Linked DNA regions of Saccharomyces cerevisiae S288C. The gene in region 1 interacts genetically with each later gene. Each region holds a gene or a part of one and is shown in the gene's direction. Other genes may lie near its edges. The genes, in order: IRC21, POL12, PTC1 and IRA2.

What was found.
Region 2: mutations in IRC21 (region 1) and POL12 together harm fitness more than expected from each alone (negative genetic interaction), as found in Saccharomyces cerevisiae (2 studies listed by BioGRID).
Region 3: mutations in IRC21 (region 1) and PTC1 together harm fitness more than expected from each alone (negative genetic interaction), as found in Saccharomyces cerevisiae (4 studies listed by BioGRID, with this or other methods).
Region 4: mutations in IRC21 (region 1) and IRA2 together harm fitness more than expected from each alone (negative genetic interaction), as found in Saccharomyces cerevisiae (4 studies listed by BioGRID).

What each region holds. Positions count from the first base shown.
Region 1 is NC_001145.3:411,768-415,188, reverse strand, and holds IRC21 (Irc21p), read left to right. Parts: upstream 1-2,315; coding exon 2,316-2,921; downstream 2,922-3,421. Other genes in the region: RCO1 (Rco1p), read right to left, coding at 1-1,207; SDD2 (Sdd2p), read left to right, coding at 1,716-2,153; DNA-binding protein ABF2, read right to left, coding at 3,069-3,421. UniProt on the Saccharomyces cerevisiae protein: Involved in resistance to carboplatin and cisplatin. Is probably involved in a pathway contributing to genomic integrity.
Region 2 is NC_001134.8:150,610-155,439, reverse strand, and holds POL12 (DNA-directed DNA polymerase alpha subunit POL12), read left to right. Parts: upstream 1-1,829; coding exon 1,830-3,947; downstream 3,948-4,830. Other genes in the region: STU1 (Stu1p), read left to right, coding at 1-1,592; YBL036C (pyridoxal phosphate homeostasis protein), read left to right, coding at 4,220-4,830. UniProt on the Saccharomyces cerevisiae protein: Non-catalytic component of DNA polymerase alpha, which in a complex with DNA primase (DNA polymerase alpha:primase) constitutes a replicative polymerase.
Region 3 is NC_001136.10:437,296-441,254, forward strand, and holds PTC1 (type 2C protein phosphatase PTC1), read left to right. Parts: upstream 1-2,613; coding exon 2,614-3,459; downstream 3,460-3,959. Other genes in the region: proteasome regulatory particle base subunit RPT2, read left to right, coding at 752-2,065; MED2 (Med2p), read right to left, coding at 3,719-3,959. UniProt on the Saccharomyces cerevisiae protein: Serine and threonine phosphatase. Involved in tRNA splicing and cell separation.
Region 4 is NC_001147.6:169,090-174,697, forward strand, and holds the start of IRA2 (Ras GTPase activating protein IRA2), read left to right. Parts: upstream 1-1,980; coding exon 1,981-5,608. Other genes in the region: ATG19 (Atg19p), read left to right, coding at 1-885. UniProt on the Saccharomyces cerevisiae protein: Inhibitory regulator of the Ras-cyclic AMP pathway. Stimulates the GTPase activity of Ras proteins.

The sequences.
Region 1 (3,421 bases):
GGTTGTAAGAGTCCAATTTAGTTATGCTTTGGCCATAAGAAGTGTTAAACAATTGTCTATCAGTTAATGGAATCTTATCATTCTCATCAGAGTATTGTCCTCTCGAACCCGTTTTCACAGCAGGAAAGGTTTCTTTTATATAATTTGGTAGCTGGAACTGTTTTGGGTTGTGGGAATCGATATTGAAAAGTAATTTAGCAAAAATCTTGACGTTGTTATTTTGCTTAATGAAGTTGGATTCAATTTTTTTTAAAGTTGCCATTGAGTTATTTATGAAGATTTTAAACTTACATTCATTACAATGCCAATCACCTTTAGGCAGGTTGTTCGGATCAATTGGTGGGTCTAAGCAAAGAAAGTGAAAGGATTTGGGGCATGTATCACAGCATAAAAAAGAACCTGACTGATTACAAGCCGAACAAAAATCTTCATTCTCAAAATCTATGGTTGAATTGTTCTTGTCCCTGAAAATTTTTTCACTCGCATTCGATGTTGACTTGATGGAATTTTGGCCAAATAGTTTACTTTTTGAATCATAGGTAGCATTCGTTGAAAGTATTATTTTGGTTCTAATATTTGATAGCTTTTTATTATCGCGGTCGCTTTCAGGTTCACGGTCACGAGTTCTGTTTATTATATCGCCATTCCAACCAATAGTTGACCGTATATTGCTCTCTTCAGTCATGTTCTCAGTTAAAAACGTTTTCAAATCATTTCTGTTCAAATCCTGAAAATTTTTCGGCACCTGAGTAAATCTTTTACTGGGGACCAGCGTCATTTCTGAGTTGTTCGATTGGCCTCCCAAATTTTTTCTATAATTCCAAAGAGACTCTCGCTTGATTTTCTCAGAAGGACCTTTATTTAACGGCAATCCAGTGACAGATACCTTCGAATCTTCCGAGATGGTGGATGGCTCATTAAGTTTGATGATATTACCCTTGGAGTCCTTTTCAAGAAGTTCCTTGGGTTCTTCTTCCGGGATATTGTCTTCAACTGCAAGATTGCTATGCTCGTTCTTGAATGATCTTTCTATACCTTCAGAAGTGATGATCTTTCTCCTTTTCAAATCGTAATTTACATTCTGGGAGGATAGTCTCTTAGGACGTTTTTTCTCTTTGGAAGAAGATGAAGAGAGAGAAGAAGATGAAGGAGAAGAACTGTTGGAATGTGAGGGCGACCTAGTAGTATCTTTCTTGCTGGTGTCCATTGTATTATTATTAGCAGATGGTAATGGAAGTGTCTTTTATAGGTTTTTCTATGGTGATTATTCTCGTTTATACTTGGTATTCTTCTTCCTTCCTCTCGTGCTTGTTGCAAATGTTCAAACGCGTAGTGGGTACGTCGTTCTCTACAAAGGAATGAGGCAGATCTTGCAGCGAGCTACTAAAACTACCACTTATGGGTTAACACGATATATATGTATTTATATCTACTAATATGGTATTAAGGCTCAAAAATAACCTTGCAACAGAGAGCAATAGTATAATTTCCTACATGAGGAAGAAAGTTGCCTATTATGGTGAGCAGGTGAAATCCTAGCTGCGAACGGGAAACTTATTCGGACGAGAAACAGATGAGAAACAGATGAGAATTTTTGGGCTGGGTAAGCGAGAATTTTTATACCACTTGTGGTTCTACAAGGAGAACCAAGAGTAAAAGTTGAAAAATCTTCTTGCTCTCTGGATTACAATTCAGGAGGAAGTGTGTGCTCAGATATGGACCCAGAGTTACAAGCTATTAGGGAAGCCAGATTGGCTCAGTTGAAAAACAACAGTGGGGGTACCAACGGCGATAGAAATAGCGGTGCTAATAATGGTGGAGGTGAAAATTCCGCTCCCGTTGGTGCAGCTATTGCAAATTTCTTGGAGCCACAAGCTTTAGAAAGATTATCTCGAGTGGCCTTGGTCCGTAGAGACAGGGCCCAAGCAGTAGAGACATACTTAAAGAAACTGATTGCTACAAACAACGTCACTCATAAAATCACTGAAGCTGAAATTGTTTCAATCTTGAATGGTATCGCCAAGCAACAAAATTCACAAAATAACAGTAAGATTATCTTCGAACGGAAAGATTTCAGCGAAGATCTGAATTCATTTGACAAGCAGAATGCTAAAAATGATGACGACGAAGATGATGACGACTTCTTTGATTAGTTTATATAAACGAATAATATGTTTTTTCGTATAATGTTACATTTAGTACAAATCATATCCTTTATAGAACTAGAGTTAAAGTTACATTAATTATGTGTAGCAAAAGGACGAATAAGCAGAATATAACATATTAGCAGGTGCTTAGATTACACTCATAGAGATATGAGTAGTGACGGCATGAACAGAGATGTTTCAAACTCGAAACCAAATGTCAGATTCGCTGCTCCTCAGCGACTAAGCGTTGCTCATCCTGCCATATCATCCCCGCTGCATATGCCCATGTCGAAGTCGTCAAGAAAGCCTCTTGTAAGAACCAAAATAAGACTAGATCCTGGGCACAGTGCTCTGGACTGGCACTCTCTAACCTCCAATCCAGCGAATTATTATACAAAATTCGTTTCGCTACAGCTTATCCAGGATTTACTCGATGATCCGGTATTTCAAAAAGATAACTTCAAGTTTTCACCTTCACAACTGAAGAACCAATTGCTTGTCCAAAAGATACCCCTTTATAAAATAATGCCACCCTTAAGAATAAACAGAAAAATCGTAAAGAAGCATTGTAAAGGTGAGGACGAGTTATGGTGCGTTATAAACGGCAAAGTCTATGACATTTCTAGTTATTTGAAGTTCCATCCAGGTGGTACGGACATCTTAATAAAGCACCGTAATAGTGACGATTTGATTACATATTTTAATAAGTATCATCAATGGGTTAACTATGAAAAATTATTACAGGTTTGTTTCATTGGCGTTGTATGCGAATAAAGGTTACCAGAGATAAAAAAAAAGTTTGAAGACTTACATAGGATATAAAAACACTACACACTTGCTTGGTTAAGTTAAATTTATTTATTTGTTTGGATAGGAACGGAAAGAATAAAGGCATAAAAAACATTGTGAGAGTACCGCGGTCTAGTTGAGAGGGTAGCGAGCATTATATTCTTGGATAGCTTTTTTGTACTCTTGTATGTATTTGTCCTTAATGCTTTGATCCAAGGATTGCCATTTATCTCCGATAATTTTCATTAGATCCAATTGAGACTTGTCAGGATGTTGTGCAAAAACTTGCGAACGAACTTCATTGGCATACTTAATGAAGGGTCCTGCTGGTTTCTTTGGAGGAAGTTTTTCGTCAAACTCCTTCTTCGCCTTTTGGTATTCAGAATACAACTTTTTTCTTTCAGAAATGTATTTTTCCTTTATATCAGCCTCTAAATTTTGCCACTTTTCACCGGCAATCTTGCTGATTTCAGCAGGACGTAAGG
Region 2 (4,830 bases), on another chromosome or scaffold:
AAAAGAAGGATGCCAACTTTAAGGTAGAAGACATCATTTCTAGAGAAAGTTCTGTAAGCTTCACTCCCATCGACAATAAAAAATCTGAAGGGGATGAGGAATCCGACGATGCTGTAGACGAAAATGATGTTAAGAAATGCATGGAAATGACAATGATTAATCCCTTCAAAAACTTGGAAACTGATAAAACACTAGAGTTGAAGAATAACGTTGGAAAAAGAACATCAAGCACAGACAGCGTAGTTATTCATGATGATAATGACAAAGATAAAAAGCTTTCAGAAATGACGAAAATAGTAAGTGTTTATCAACTGGACCAGCCAAACCCAGCAAAGGAGGAAGATGATATAGATATGGAAAATTCTCAAAAATCTGATTTGAATTTAAGTGAAATTTTTCAAAACAGTGGTGAAAATACCGAAAGGAAATTGAAGGACGATAATGAACCAACAGTAAAATTCAGTACAGATCCTCCAAAGATAATAAATGAGCCAGAAAAACTTATTGGAAATGGGAATGAGAATGAAAAGCCTGATTTGGAAACAATGTCACCAATCAAAATAAACGGGGACGAGAATATGGGTCAAAAGCAAAGGATCACAGTAAAGAGAGAAAGAGACGTAGCACTAACTGAACAAGACATAAACTCCAAAAAGATGAAACTAGTTAATAACAAAAAATCAGAGAAGATGCATTTGCTTATCATGGATAATTTCCCAAGGGATTCCTTGACTGTATATGAAATTAGTCATCTTTTAATGGTTGATTCTAATGGCAACACTTTGATGGATTTTGATGTCTATTTCAATCACATGTCAAAGGCAATAAACAGGATAAAAAGTGGATCGTTCACTATGAAACATATAAATTACCTGATCGAACCCTTGATTACTTGTTTTCAAAATCAAAAAATGACCGATTGGTTGACGAATGAAAATGGTTTTGATGAACTACTGGATGTTGCTATTATGCTTTTGAAATCTACTGATGACACGCCTTCAATTCCATCAAAAATATCCAGTAAGTCCATAATTCTCGTTCATTGTCTTTTGGTTTGGAAAAAGTTTCTAAATACACTAAGCGAGAATGCCGACGATGATGGCGTTTCGGTGAGAATGTGTTTCGAAGAAGTATGGGAACAGATCCTTTTAATGCTTAATAAATTTTCTGATTATGGAAACGAAATCTATAAATTAGCGCAAGAGTTCAGGGACAGTCTAATGTTATCGCACTTTTTCAAAAAACATTCGGCAACAAGAATTCTAAGCATGTTGGTTACTGAAATTCAGCCTGACACCGCTGGTGTGAAAGAAACATTTTTAATTGAGACCTTATGGAAGATGCTGCAATCTCCTACCATTTGCCAACAATTCAAGAAATCTAATATATCAGAGATTATCCAAACAATGAGCTATTTCATTATGGGGACTGATAATACTTCGTGGAACTTCACCAGTGCCGTGGTATTAGCTCGTTGTTTGAGAGTCCTCCAAACTACTCCAGATTATACTGAGCAAGAAACCGAACGATTATTCGATTGTTTGCCTAAGAATGTCTTTAAAATGATCATGTTCATCGCCTCAAACGAATAGAGAATAGCGTGGTAGACGCGTAATTTTTTTTTACCGTGACGCGTCTCACCAGAGTTTCTTAGTTCTTTCTCTTTTCTAAAACTGTAATAATATGAGCTCTTTGTAGACACATATAACATTTTGTTTCATATACATAATATATTTGCATATAAAAATATCAAGATAATTGATTGTCAATTGGTTCAACAAAGCTTGAAGGTAAATTTAGGCAGGAGCAAGTGACTGAAAAAAAAAAAAATGAGCGGATCTATCGATGTCATCACTCATTTTGGGCCTGATGCAGACAAGCCGGAAATCATCACTGCATTAGAGAATTTAACTAAACTGCATGCATTGTCCGTCGAGGATCTATACATTAAATGGGAGCAGTTCTCCAATCAAAGGCGTCAAACTCACACAGATCTGACTTCCAAGAACATAGATGAGTTTAAACAATTTTTACAATTACAAATGGAAAAGCGTGCTAACCAAATTTCATCGTCCTCTAAGGTAAACACATCCACAAAAAAACCAGTGATTAAAAAAAGTTTGAATTCAAGTCCCTTGTTTGGCCTTAGTATTCCAAAGACTCCGACTTTAAAAAAAAGAAAGTTACATGGTCCCTTTTCACTCAGTGATTCCAAGCAAACATATAATGTAGGCTCTGAGGCAGAAACAAATGAAAAAGGAAATAGTTCTTTAAAATTGGAGTTTACTCCAGGCATGGCAGAAGATGCTGTGGGTGACAGTGCTCCATTGTCCCACGCTAAAAGCTCGGATGCCAAGACTCCCGGCTCGTCGACATTCCAAACTCCAACAACAAACACTCCTACCACATCGAGGCAAAATGTTCCTGCTGGTGAAATTTTGGATTCTTTGAACCCTGAAAATATTGAAATATCATCTGGTAATCCAAATGTAGGCCTTCTTTCGACTGAAGAACCATCATATAACCAGGTCAAAGTAGAACCATTTTATGATGCTAAAAAGTATAAATTCAGAACAATGAGGCAAAACTTACAGGAAGCGTCTGATGTCCTCGATGATCAAATTGAATCGTTTACTAAGATTATTCAAAATCACTATAAGTTATCTCCAAACGACTTCGCTGATCCAACTATTCAATCTCAGTCCGAAATTTATGCTGTTGGAAGGATAGTTCCAGATTCGCCGACCTACGACAAGTTTTTGAATCCAGAATCGCTTTCCCTAGAGACCTCAAGAATGGGCGGCGTTGGAAGAAGGGTAAGGTTAGATCTATCGCAGGTCAACGAGCTTTCGTTTTTCTTAGGCCAAATTGTGGCATTCAAAGGTAAAAATGCTAATGGGGATTACTTCACCGTTAACTCTATTTTGCCGCTACCTTATCCAAACTCCCCAGTGTCCACATCGCAGGAACTGCAGGAGTTTCAAGCAAATTTGGAAGGTTCTTCTTTGAAGGTTATCGTGACCTGTGGCCCATACTTTGCAAATGATAACTTCTCCCTCGAATTGTTGCAAGAATTTATCGATAGTATAAATAATGAGGTAAAACCTCACGTCTTGATAATGTTTGGCCCATTTATAGATATCACCCATCCTCTGATAGCGAGTGGTAAATTGCCAAATTTTCCCCAGTTCAAGACACAGCCCAAAACATTGGACGAGCTTTTTTTGAAGTTATTTACTCCTATTCTAAAAACCATATCACCACATATCCAAACCGTATTGATACCCTCCACAAAAGATGCAATTTCTAATCACGCCGCATATCCACAAGCTTCTTTAATTAGAAAGGCTTTACAGCTGCCTAAAAGGAACTTCAAATGCATGGCTAATCCTTCATCTTTTCAAATAAATGAGATATACTTCGGTTGCTCAAACGTTGATACATTCAAAGATCTAAAGGAAGTCATAAAAGGCGGTACTACCTCATCAAGATATAGATTAGATCGTGTTTCTGAGCATATTTTACAACAGCGCAGGTATTACCCCATATTTCCAGGTAGTATTCGTACAAGAATAAAACCAAAAGACGTATCTACGAAGAAGGAAACCAATGATATGGAAAGCAAAGAAGAAAAAGTTTATGAACATATATCTGGTGCAGATTTAGACGTGAGTTATCTGGGACTAACAGAGTTTGTTGGTGGGTTCTCGCCTGACATAATGATTATACCCAGTGAATTACAACACTTTGCAAGAGTTGTCCAAAACGTAGTTGTTATAAATCCCGGAAGATTTATTAGAGCAACAGGTAACAGGGGATCCTATGCACAAATTACTGTCCAATGCCCTGATCTTGAAGACGGGAAATTGACGCTTGTTGAAGGTGAAGAGCCAGTTTATCTACACAACGTGTGGAAGCGCGCTAGAGTTGACTTGATTGCTAGTTGATATATTTAATTCAAACTTAACTAATGGAATAGCTCAAGGTAGCACCAAAAAGTATTGTTATACACCTGAACTATCGACCTTGAAACTGGCTCTATAACTTACTTATTGATTAAAGACCATAACATGATCAGTATCCGGGTAATAAAGTAACGTGATCAGAGGCCAGAGAAAATGTTCATAAGTAGAGACTACTCTTAAATGCATAATAAAAAAAAAAACTGATAGGCATCACTCTTTCCTTTTTGACTAAGATTCCAGCATCACATTGCAATATGTCCACTGGTATTACTTATGATGAAGATAGAAAGACACAATTAATTGCCCAATACGAATCTGTAAGGGAAGTTGTGAATGCAGAGGCAAAAAATGTTCATGTTAATGAAAATGCCTCCAAAATTTTATTATTGGTTGTTTCGAAATTGAAACCAGCTAGCGATATACAAATTCTTTACGACCATGGTGTGAGGGAGTTCGGGGAAAACTATGTTCAAGAGTTGATCGAAAAGGCAAAATTACTACCAGACGATATCAAGTGGCACTTTATTGGCGGTTTGCAAACGAATAAATGTAAAGATTTGGCTAAAGTGCCAAATTTATACTCTGTTGAAACAATCGACTCCTTGAAGAAAGCCAAAAAATTAAACGAATCGAGGGCTAAATTTCAACCAGATTGCAACCCAATATTGTGTAATGTTCAAATTAATACCTCCCATGAGGATCAAAAATCGGGCTTGAATAATGAAGCAGAAATATTTGAAGTCATCGACTTCTTCTTATCCGAAGAATGCAAGTATATTAAGTTGAATGGGTTAATGACTATTGGTTCATGGAACGTCTCTCATGAAGATAGCAAAGAAAACAGAGACTTTGCTACGCTGGTTGA
Region 3 (3,959 bases), on another chromosome or scaffold:
TGAAGCTGTGCTAAAGATCTATTAATTGAACATGATATGGTAGGTACATATATGAGGAATATGAGTCGTCACATCAATGTATAGTAACTACCGGAATCACTATTATATTGGTCATGATTAATATGACCAATCGGCGTGTGTTTTATATACCTCTCTTATTTAGTATAAGAAGATCAATACTTATTTCTTCATTAATACTATTTTTTACCTCTAACTATCAACAAGTGATAATTGTTGGAATTCCATTGTTAATAAAGGCAATAATATTATGTATACAGAATACAGCTTCCTCTAACTTCTATGACAGTTTCTCATACCTTATGTCATCATCTAACATTGTACATTATAATATACTCGTAGTAAGACTACTAGTTGAGAGAGAATAGTTGATTTTTATTCTAACAAATAATATTCCAGCAGGTTTACATATTCCTAGGTTTGGGATATATCTTAAGTCAATAATTCATCATTAGTAAGGCAACTTGGCCGAGTGGTTAAGGCGAAAGATTAGAAATCTTTTGGGCTTTGCCCGCGCAGGTTCGAGTCCTGCAGTTGTCGTCATTTTTATATTCCCAATATTTTTATCACTCCGGGTAACGAGTTATTAACGGTTTTTCTCCGGTGGCAAATGTCTCTTTTCTTTTACCTAAAAGAAGGTTAATGTGAATATTAGTGAATATGATGCGTATCAGTGTCAAGCTTACAGTCAATTCAAGTTAAAGAAGAGACAGCGTTTTTAATAGAAAATAAAATGGGACAAGGTGTATCATCTGGACAAGACAAAAAGAAGAAGAAGGGATCTAATCAGAAACCCAAATATGAACCTCCCGTTCAATCTAAATTTGGTCGTAAGAAAAGAAAGGGAGGTCCAGCTACTGCTGAAAAATTACCCAACATATATCCAAGTACTCGTTGTAAGTTAAAGCTTCTAAGGATGGAACGAATTAAAGACCATTTGTTATTAGAAGAAGAATTTGTCTCTAACTCTGAAATTTTAAAACCCTTTGAAAAGAAGCAGGAGGAGGAAAAGAAACAATTGGAAGAAATACGTGGAAATCCATTGAGCATTGGGACCCTTGAAGAAATTATAGACGATGATCATGCGATAGTGACAAGTCCAACTATGCCTGATTATTATGTATCTATCTTATCCTTTGTCGATAAAGAGTTACTAGAGCCTGGATGTTCTGTGTTATTGCATCATAAAACCATGTCCATCGTAGGTGTTTTACAGGATGACGCCGATCCAATGGTTTCGGTCATGAAAATGGATAAGTCGCCAACAGAATCATACAGTGATATTGGTGGCTTAGAATCTCAAATTCAAGAAATAAAAGAGTCTGTAGAGTTACCGTTAACACACCCCGAACTGTATGAAGAGATGGGTATCAAACCTCCCAAGGGTGTGATTCTTTATGGTGCACCCGGTACAGGTAAGACATTGCTAGCAAAGGCTGTTGCAAATCAAACATCTGCCACATTCTTAAGGATTGTTGGCTCAGAGTTAATTCAAAAATATTTGGGGGATGGTCCTAGGTTGTGTAGGCAAATTTTCAAAGTAGCGGGTGAGAATGCACCAAGTATTGTATTTATTGATGAAATAGACGCCATTGGTACTAAAAGATATGACTCCAATAGTGGTGGTGAGAGAGAAATTCAGAGAACCATGCTGGAATTGCTGAACCAGCTGGACGGGTTCGACGACAGAGGGGATGTGAAGGTGATTATGGCCACTAACAAAATCGAGACTCTTGACCCAGCATTAATCAGGCCTGGGAGAATTGATCGTAAAATCTTATTTGAAAACCCTGATCTAAGTACTAAGAAAAAAATTTTAGGGATTCACACTTCCAAGATGAATTTAAGTGAGGACGTTAATCTTGAAACTTTAGTAACAACAAAGGATGATTTGTCAGGCGCCGATATCCAGGCAATGTGTACAGAAGCAGGTTTGTTAGCCCTTAGAGAGAGAAGAATGCAAGTTACAGCGGAGGATTTTAAACAAGCCAAGGAGAGAGTCATGAAAAATAAAGTTGAGGAAAATTTAGAAGGTTTATACTTGTGATGTGCCCATTTACATTTTTCTATAATAGATTTACGTATATAAGTAATGCTTCAACAAAGCTTAATATGTGTACATTTTGTATCACGTGCAATATTTGTTTCAAAAACTTAATATAGGTAGGGCGTCGGGGCCTTCGCGAATTCTAACTGCAAAGGAAAACTGGTGAACACATCTGAGAGGGTTTGTTGTCCTAATTTTATAGGAAACTAAAACTCAAAAGACAAAGTATACCTTTGCAAATTGAAAGCTTAGTTAAACATTATTATTCGTGTGTTTGAGGTCACTTTTTTTCGTCTTAAACAGCTCTCAAAGTTGTCTCAAAATTTTTATCCGGATTCCTTTACATTAACAGACCCCAAACACAACAAGTTTTGATAGTTTAAGTAAGTGAACGCTTATTTTTGTTGTCGTTGAAAAGAAAATAAATAGGCAGTATTATCAATTAGGAGGTGAGTTAAATTCCATTCTATACCGAGTATACGAGATTTTGCACATTCTTACTTCATATATCATTTAGGCACTGCATTTATCTTTTAAAAATCATTATAATGAGTAATCATTCTGAAATCTTAGAAAGGCCAGAAACACCATATGACATAACTTATAGAGTAGGTGTGGCGGAAAATAAAAACTCGAAATTTCGGAGGACAATGGAAGATGTTCATACGTATGTTAAAAACTTTGCTTCAAGATTAGATTGGGGATATTTCGCGGTGTTTGATGGACATGCTGGGATTCAGGCCTCCAAATGGTGTGGTAAACATCTTCATACAATTATAGAGCAAAACATTTTGGCAGATGAAACACGAGATGTTAGAGATGTATTGAACGATTCATTCCTAGCCATTGACGAAGAAATTAATACAAAACTTGTAGGAAATAGTGGATGTACTGCTGCTGTTTGCGTATTACGTTGGGAGCTTCCGGATTCAGTTTCTGATGATTCAATGGATTTAGCCCAACACCAAAGAAAGTTATATACAGCAAATGTTGGTGATTCTCGAATAGTATTGTTTAGAAACGGGAACAGCATAAGACTGACTTATGATCATAAGGCATCTGACACTTTGGAGATGCAGAGAGTTGAACAAGCAGGTGGCCTGATAATGAAAAGTCGTGTAAATGGTATGCTGGCAGTGACGAGATCGTTAGGGGATAAATTTTTTGATAGTTTAGTAGTGGGCAGCCCATTTACCACGAGCGTAGAAATAACTTCTGAGGACAAATTTTTAATCCTAGCGTGTGATGGATTATGGGATGTTATTGATGATCAAGATGCATGCGAATTAATCAAGGATATTACTGAACCTAATGAAGCTGCAAAAGTCTTGGTTAGATATGCTTTGGAAAATGGCACAACAGATAATGTAACGGTCATGGTTGTCTTCCTCTAAGAAGGATCCGTTATAAACCGCGCAAAAATTATGCATAGACATAGAGATATGCAATGTGTATGTGTGTATGTATGTATATGTATAAACGTACCAAATCTATTTTGCATGCATCTCTCACATGACGAATGAGGTTTTAGTAGAATAGGATTCCAGATTTTTAAACTGGAGAACATATTCTATCATATATATACCAATTAAATTCACGTAGCGAATGCACAACACGGTTTACAAGTCAATAGTTAACAATAGGAAGACCAAGCTATATATTGAAGCCGCTGAGGTCTAATTCGCCATTATCTCCAGTGGTCGACCAGTCAATATTAAGGTCGTTGAAATCATTTAATGTCAAGTATTCTTCACCGTTGTCGGCTGGAGGAGGGTTATCTCCAGGATTGGAAACAACGGTCGTTGGTAAATCATTATTAACTATATTTTCATTATCATTTCCGGTAGTGATAGAATTGTTCTTGTTATTGCTGTCGTTGTTGGTGGTATTGTTA
Region 4 (5,608 bases), on another chromosome or scaffold:
AAGGAAAGCTTATGTAGAGAAGACGCACACGAAGATCCCGTATCTCCAAAGGCTGGTTCCGAAGAAGAGATAAGCCCTAATTCCACCTCTAATGTGGTTGTGTCAAGAGAATGCTTGGATAACTTCATGAAACAACTCCTTAAGTTGGAAGAATCGTTAAATAAGTTGGAATTGGAGCAAAAGGTCACAAATAAAGAACCTAACCACAGAATAAGCGGTACGATTGACATACCAGAAGATAGGTCCGAACTAGTGAACTTTTTCACAGAGTTGAAAACAGTCAAACAACTTGAGGACGTTTTTCAACGTTACCATGACTATGAGAGGTTATCACAAGAATGTGACAGTAAGACGGAAATCGCCTCTGACCATTCGAAAAAGGAAACTAAAATAGAAGTGGAACCCCCAAATGAGCGCTCATTGCAAATCACAATGAACCAAAGGGACAATTCATTGTATTTCCAGTTGTTTAACAACACAAACTCTGTTTTGGCAGGCAACTGCAAACTGAAGTTTACTGACGCTGGCGATAAGCCAACCACGCAAATTATTGACATGGGTCCTCATGAAATAGGAATAAAGGAGTACAAGGAATACCGATACTTTCCATACGCACTTGATTTAGAGGCCGGCTCCACTATCGAGATTGAAAATCAGTATGGAGAAGTGATCTTCTTGGGCAAGTATGGCTCTTCTCCAATGATTAACTTAAGGCCACCTTCAAGATTATCTGCAGAAAGTTTACAGGCATCCCAAGAGCCATTTTACTCCTTTCAAATCGATACGTTACCAGAACTGGATGACTCTAGTATCATCAGTACATCCATTTCACTCTCTTATGACGGTGACGACAATGAAAAAGCCCTGACTTGGGAAGAACTCTAGGTCAAACTCTATTTTTATACAGCAATGAGTACCTTTTCACATACACATAAATATATTAAATATAATAAATACAATAAATATAAAATAACCCTTTTCGAAACTCTTTACTTCCTAAGGCCTCTCATTACTTATCACCTAGCATCATGCTCTTCATACATGCCATCTACTTTCAAACGATATACGGCTAACCAGAAAAGTACGGACAATCAGGGACGAGCAGGGACATGACGCCTTCCGCACAGATCCCAGAGAAAAGCAGGGAAACAAGAAAATAAGAAAACAAGAAAAACAGTAGTTACCCTTGTAAGTGTCATCCACAACAGAACCAATACTCTTACTCTTCCGCTCATTCCCCGCAGAATGATAGAACTATTCTAAATCCCCTTGCCTTGCTTGGCCTTGACTTGGGTTGGGACTTGGACCTCTAGAACCGATGTGCCTTCAAACATCTTAGCGAGATAAGAGTCTGCCATTAATGCATCGAGCCAATATCTTGGACTAGTACGAGGTTCACGTAGCCTTTCTTGCACGGCACCAGCGTCCCACCCCAAGTTCTTTGCTATACTGACCGCCTTACACATTTTAGTGTGATTCCAACCCAAAGTAGCTCCTCAAAAAGGGTCACCCGATCGGTGAATCAATCCGCGGCGCAGAAATGTTCGTAGAGCTCTCGTTTCTTCTAGAACGCTCCCTTGATGAAACGAAAATTTCCATCACAATAAAGCTCGCACGCCTTTTTGAAAACCCCAAGCTTTGCTGTGTCTTCTTGTGAAAAGTTTTGCCCAACGATTATCTATTCTACATATAACCGGGGAGTTAAGCACATCCTATTGCCCTACATTCTCTCCGCTTACTTCATTGTCTAGAGCTCCTGGGAAACAAAAGACCGAAAAAGCGAAAACAAAATCAGAACAAGGCTTAAGTACTTTTTCACCAATTGTAGCAAACATTTAACCACATTTTAGCACACTAGCATATAGCATTGTCCTCTGTTATTCGTTTTGCTTTTCTCCTTTAGTGTTACTTTTCCCCCAACGTTACACCATTTTTTGATATCAACTAAACTGTATACATTATCTTTCTTCAGGGAGAAGCATGTCCCAGCCCACTAAGAATAAGAAGAAAGAACACGGGACCGATTCCAAGTCATCCCGCATGACTCGGACGTTGGTTAATCATATTCTTTTTGAAAGAATTCTCCCGATCCTTCCGGTGGAGTCTAATCTAAGTACCTATTCGGAAGTGGAAGAGTATTCCTCATTCATTTCATGCAGATCTGTGCTCATTAACGTTACCGTTTCCCGAGATGCAAATGCTATGGTGGAAGGCACCTTGGAGTTGATAGAATCGCTTCTTCAAGGGCACGAAATCATTTCAGATAAGGGTAGCAGTGACGTTATTGAATCAATACTGATTATACTAAGATTGTTAAGTGATGCGCTAGAGTATAATTGGCAAAATCAAGAAAGCCTTCATTACAACGACATTTCGACTCACGTAGAACATGACCAAGAACAGAAGTACAGACCAAAGCTTAACAGTATTCTGCCCGACTACTCGTCGACTCATTCCAATGGCAACAAACACTTTTTCCACCAGAGCAAACCTCAGGCACTGATACCGGAACTGGCATCGAAATTGCTTGAGAGTTGCGCGAAGTTGAAGTTCAATACAAGAACTTTGCAAATTTTACAAAATATGATCAGTCATGTTCATGGAAACATTCTAACGACTTTGAGTTCCTCGATTCTTCCCCGCCACAAATCCTATCTGACAAGGCACAACCATCCTTCTCATTGTAAAATGATTGACTCTACTCTAGGCCATATTCTCCGATTTGTAGCGGCTTCCAATCCGTCCGAGTATTTTGAATTTATCAGAAAGAGTGTGCAAGTGCCCGTAACACAGACACACACGCATTCACACTCCCATTCACACTCTTTGCCATCTTCCGTTTATAACAGCATAGTGCCCCACTTTGATCTTTTCAGCTTCATCTATTTAAGCAAGCATAATTTTAAGAAATACTTGGAACTCATCAAAAACTTATCGGTGACGTTAAGGAAAACGATTTATCATTGCCTACTTTTGCATTACAGCGCCAAAGCAATAATGTTTTGGATAATGGCTAGGCCTGCGGAATATTATGAACTCTTCAACTTATTAAAAGATAATAACAATGAACACTCGAAATCCTTAAACACGTTAAACCATACACTTTTCGAGGAGATCCATTCGACTTTTAATGTGAATAGCATGATAACCACCAATCAAAATGCTCATCAAGGCTCATCTTCCCCTTCGTCCTCCTCGCCATCGTCACCACCTAGCTCATCATCATCGGATAACAACAATCAAAACATAATAGCAAAATCCTTAAGTCGTCAGCTTTCTCACCACCAGTCATACATTCAACAGCAGTCTGAAAGAAAACTACATTCTTCATGGACTACAAACTCTCAATCCTCTACTTCACTGTCATCTTCAACGTCTAATTCAACAACAACTGATTTCTCTACTCACACTCAACCAGGAGAATATGACCCTTCCTTACCAGATACTCCCACGATGTCTAACATCACTATTAGTGCATCTTCATTATTATCTCAAACTCCAACTCCAACAACACAATTGCAACAGCGGTTGAACTCAGCAGCTGCAGCCGCCGCCGCAGCTGCTTCACCATCGAATTCCACCCCAACTGGATACACAGCAGAGCAACAAAGTCGCGCTTCATACGATGCACACAAAACTGGCCATACTGGTAAGGATTATGACGAACATTTTTTGTCTGTCACTCGTTTGGATAATGTTTTGGAGTTATACACGCACTTTGATGATACTGAGGTACTACCACACACATCCGTACTGAAGTTTTTAACTACTTTGACAATGTTCGATATTGACCTTTTTAATGAATTAAACGCTACATCATTCAAATATATTCCTGATTGTACTATGCATCGTCCAAAAGAAAGAACAAGTTCTTTCAATAATACTGCACACGAGACAGGTTCCGAAAAGACTTCGGGTATAAAACATATTACACAAGGCTTAAAGAAATTAACTTCTTTACCTTCCTCAACCAAAAAAACTGTAAAATTTGTGAAGATGTTGCTAAGAAATTTAAATGGGAATCAAGCTGTATCAGATGTTGCCCTCTTAGATACAATGAGGGCCTTACTATCATTCTTTACAATGACTTCTGCGGTCTTTCTCGTGGATAGAAACTTACCCTCAGTACTTTTTGCCAAGAGACTCATCCCCATAATGGGGACAAATTTAAGCGTCGGTCAAGACTGGAATTCAAAAATAAATAACAGTTTGATGGTTTGTTTGAAAAAAAACTCCACCACGTTTGTTCAATTACAATTAATATTCTTCTCTTCAGCTATTCAATTCGATCATGAATTATTACTGGCACGTCTGAGCATCGATACAATGGCCAACAATTTAAACATGCAGAAGCTATGCCTTTATACTGAAGGATTCAGGATATTCTTCGACATACCAAGTAAGAAGGAATTGCGGAAGGCAATTGCGGTTAAAATTTCTAAATTTTTCAAAACATTATTCTCCATTATAGCAGATATTCTTTTACAAGAATTTCCGTATTTTGATGAGCAAATCACCGACATAGTTGCTTCCATTCTTGACGGTACAATTATCAATGAGTATGGTACGAAGAAACATTTCAAGGGGAGCTCACCCTCTTTATGTTCGACAACCCGGTCAAGATCAGGATCTACATCTCAAAGTTCAATGACACCAGTTTCTCCGCTGGGACTGGATACTGATATATGTCCAATGAACACCCTGTCTTTAGTTGGTTCAAGTACTTCAAGAAATTCTGACAACGTTAATTCATTAAACAGTTCACCAAAGAACTTGTCTTCTGATCCATACTTGTCACATCTTGTGGCCCCAAGAGCGCGTCATGCTTTAGGTGGGCCATCTAGTATTATAAGGAATAAAATACCGACTACATTGACTTCACCTCCAGGAACGGAAAAATCTTCACCAGTACAACGTCCGCAAACGGAAAGCATCAGTGCCACACCAATGGCCATAACAAATTCTACTCCATTATCGTCGGCAGCATTCGGAATTCGATCGCCTTTGCAGAAAATAAGAACGAGGCGTTATTCCGATGAAAGTTTAGGAAAATTCATGAAATCAACAAATAATTACATTCAAGAACATTTGATACCAAAAGATTTGAATGAAGCAACTCTTCAAGATGCTAGAAGAATAATGATTAATATTTTCAGTATTTTTAAGAGACCGAATAGTTACTTCATCATTCCTCACAATATAAACTCGAATTTACAATGGGTTTCGCAGGATTTTAGAAATATTATGAAACCGATTTTCGTCGCCATCGTAAGTCCGGATGTAGATTTACAGAATACTGCTCAATCATTCATGGATACCTTATTATCGAATGTTATTACTTATGGTGAATCAGATGAGAATATCAGTATTGAAGGGTATCATCTTCTTTGCAGTTACACTGTAACATTATTTGCAATGGGCCTTTTCGATTTGAAAATTAATAATGAAAAGCGTCAAATTCTCTTGGATATAACTGTCAAGTTTATGAAGGTTAGATCACATTTAGCAGGGATCGCGGAGGCCTCACACCACATGGAATACATAAGTGATTCTGAAAAACTCACCTTTCCGCTGATTATGGGGACTGTTGGTAGGGCCCTATTTGTTT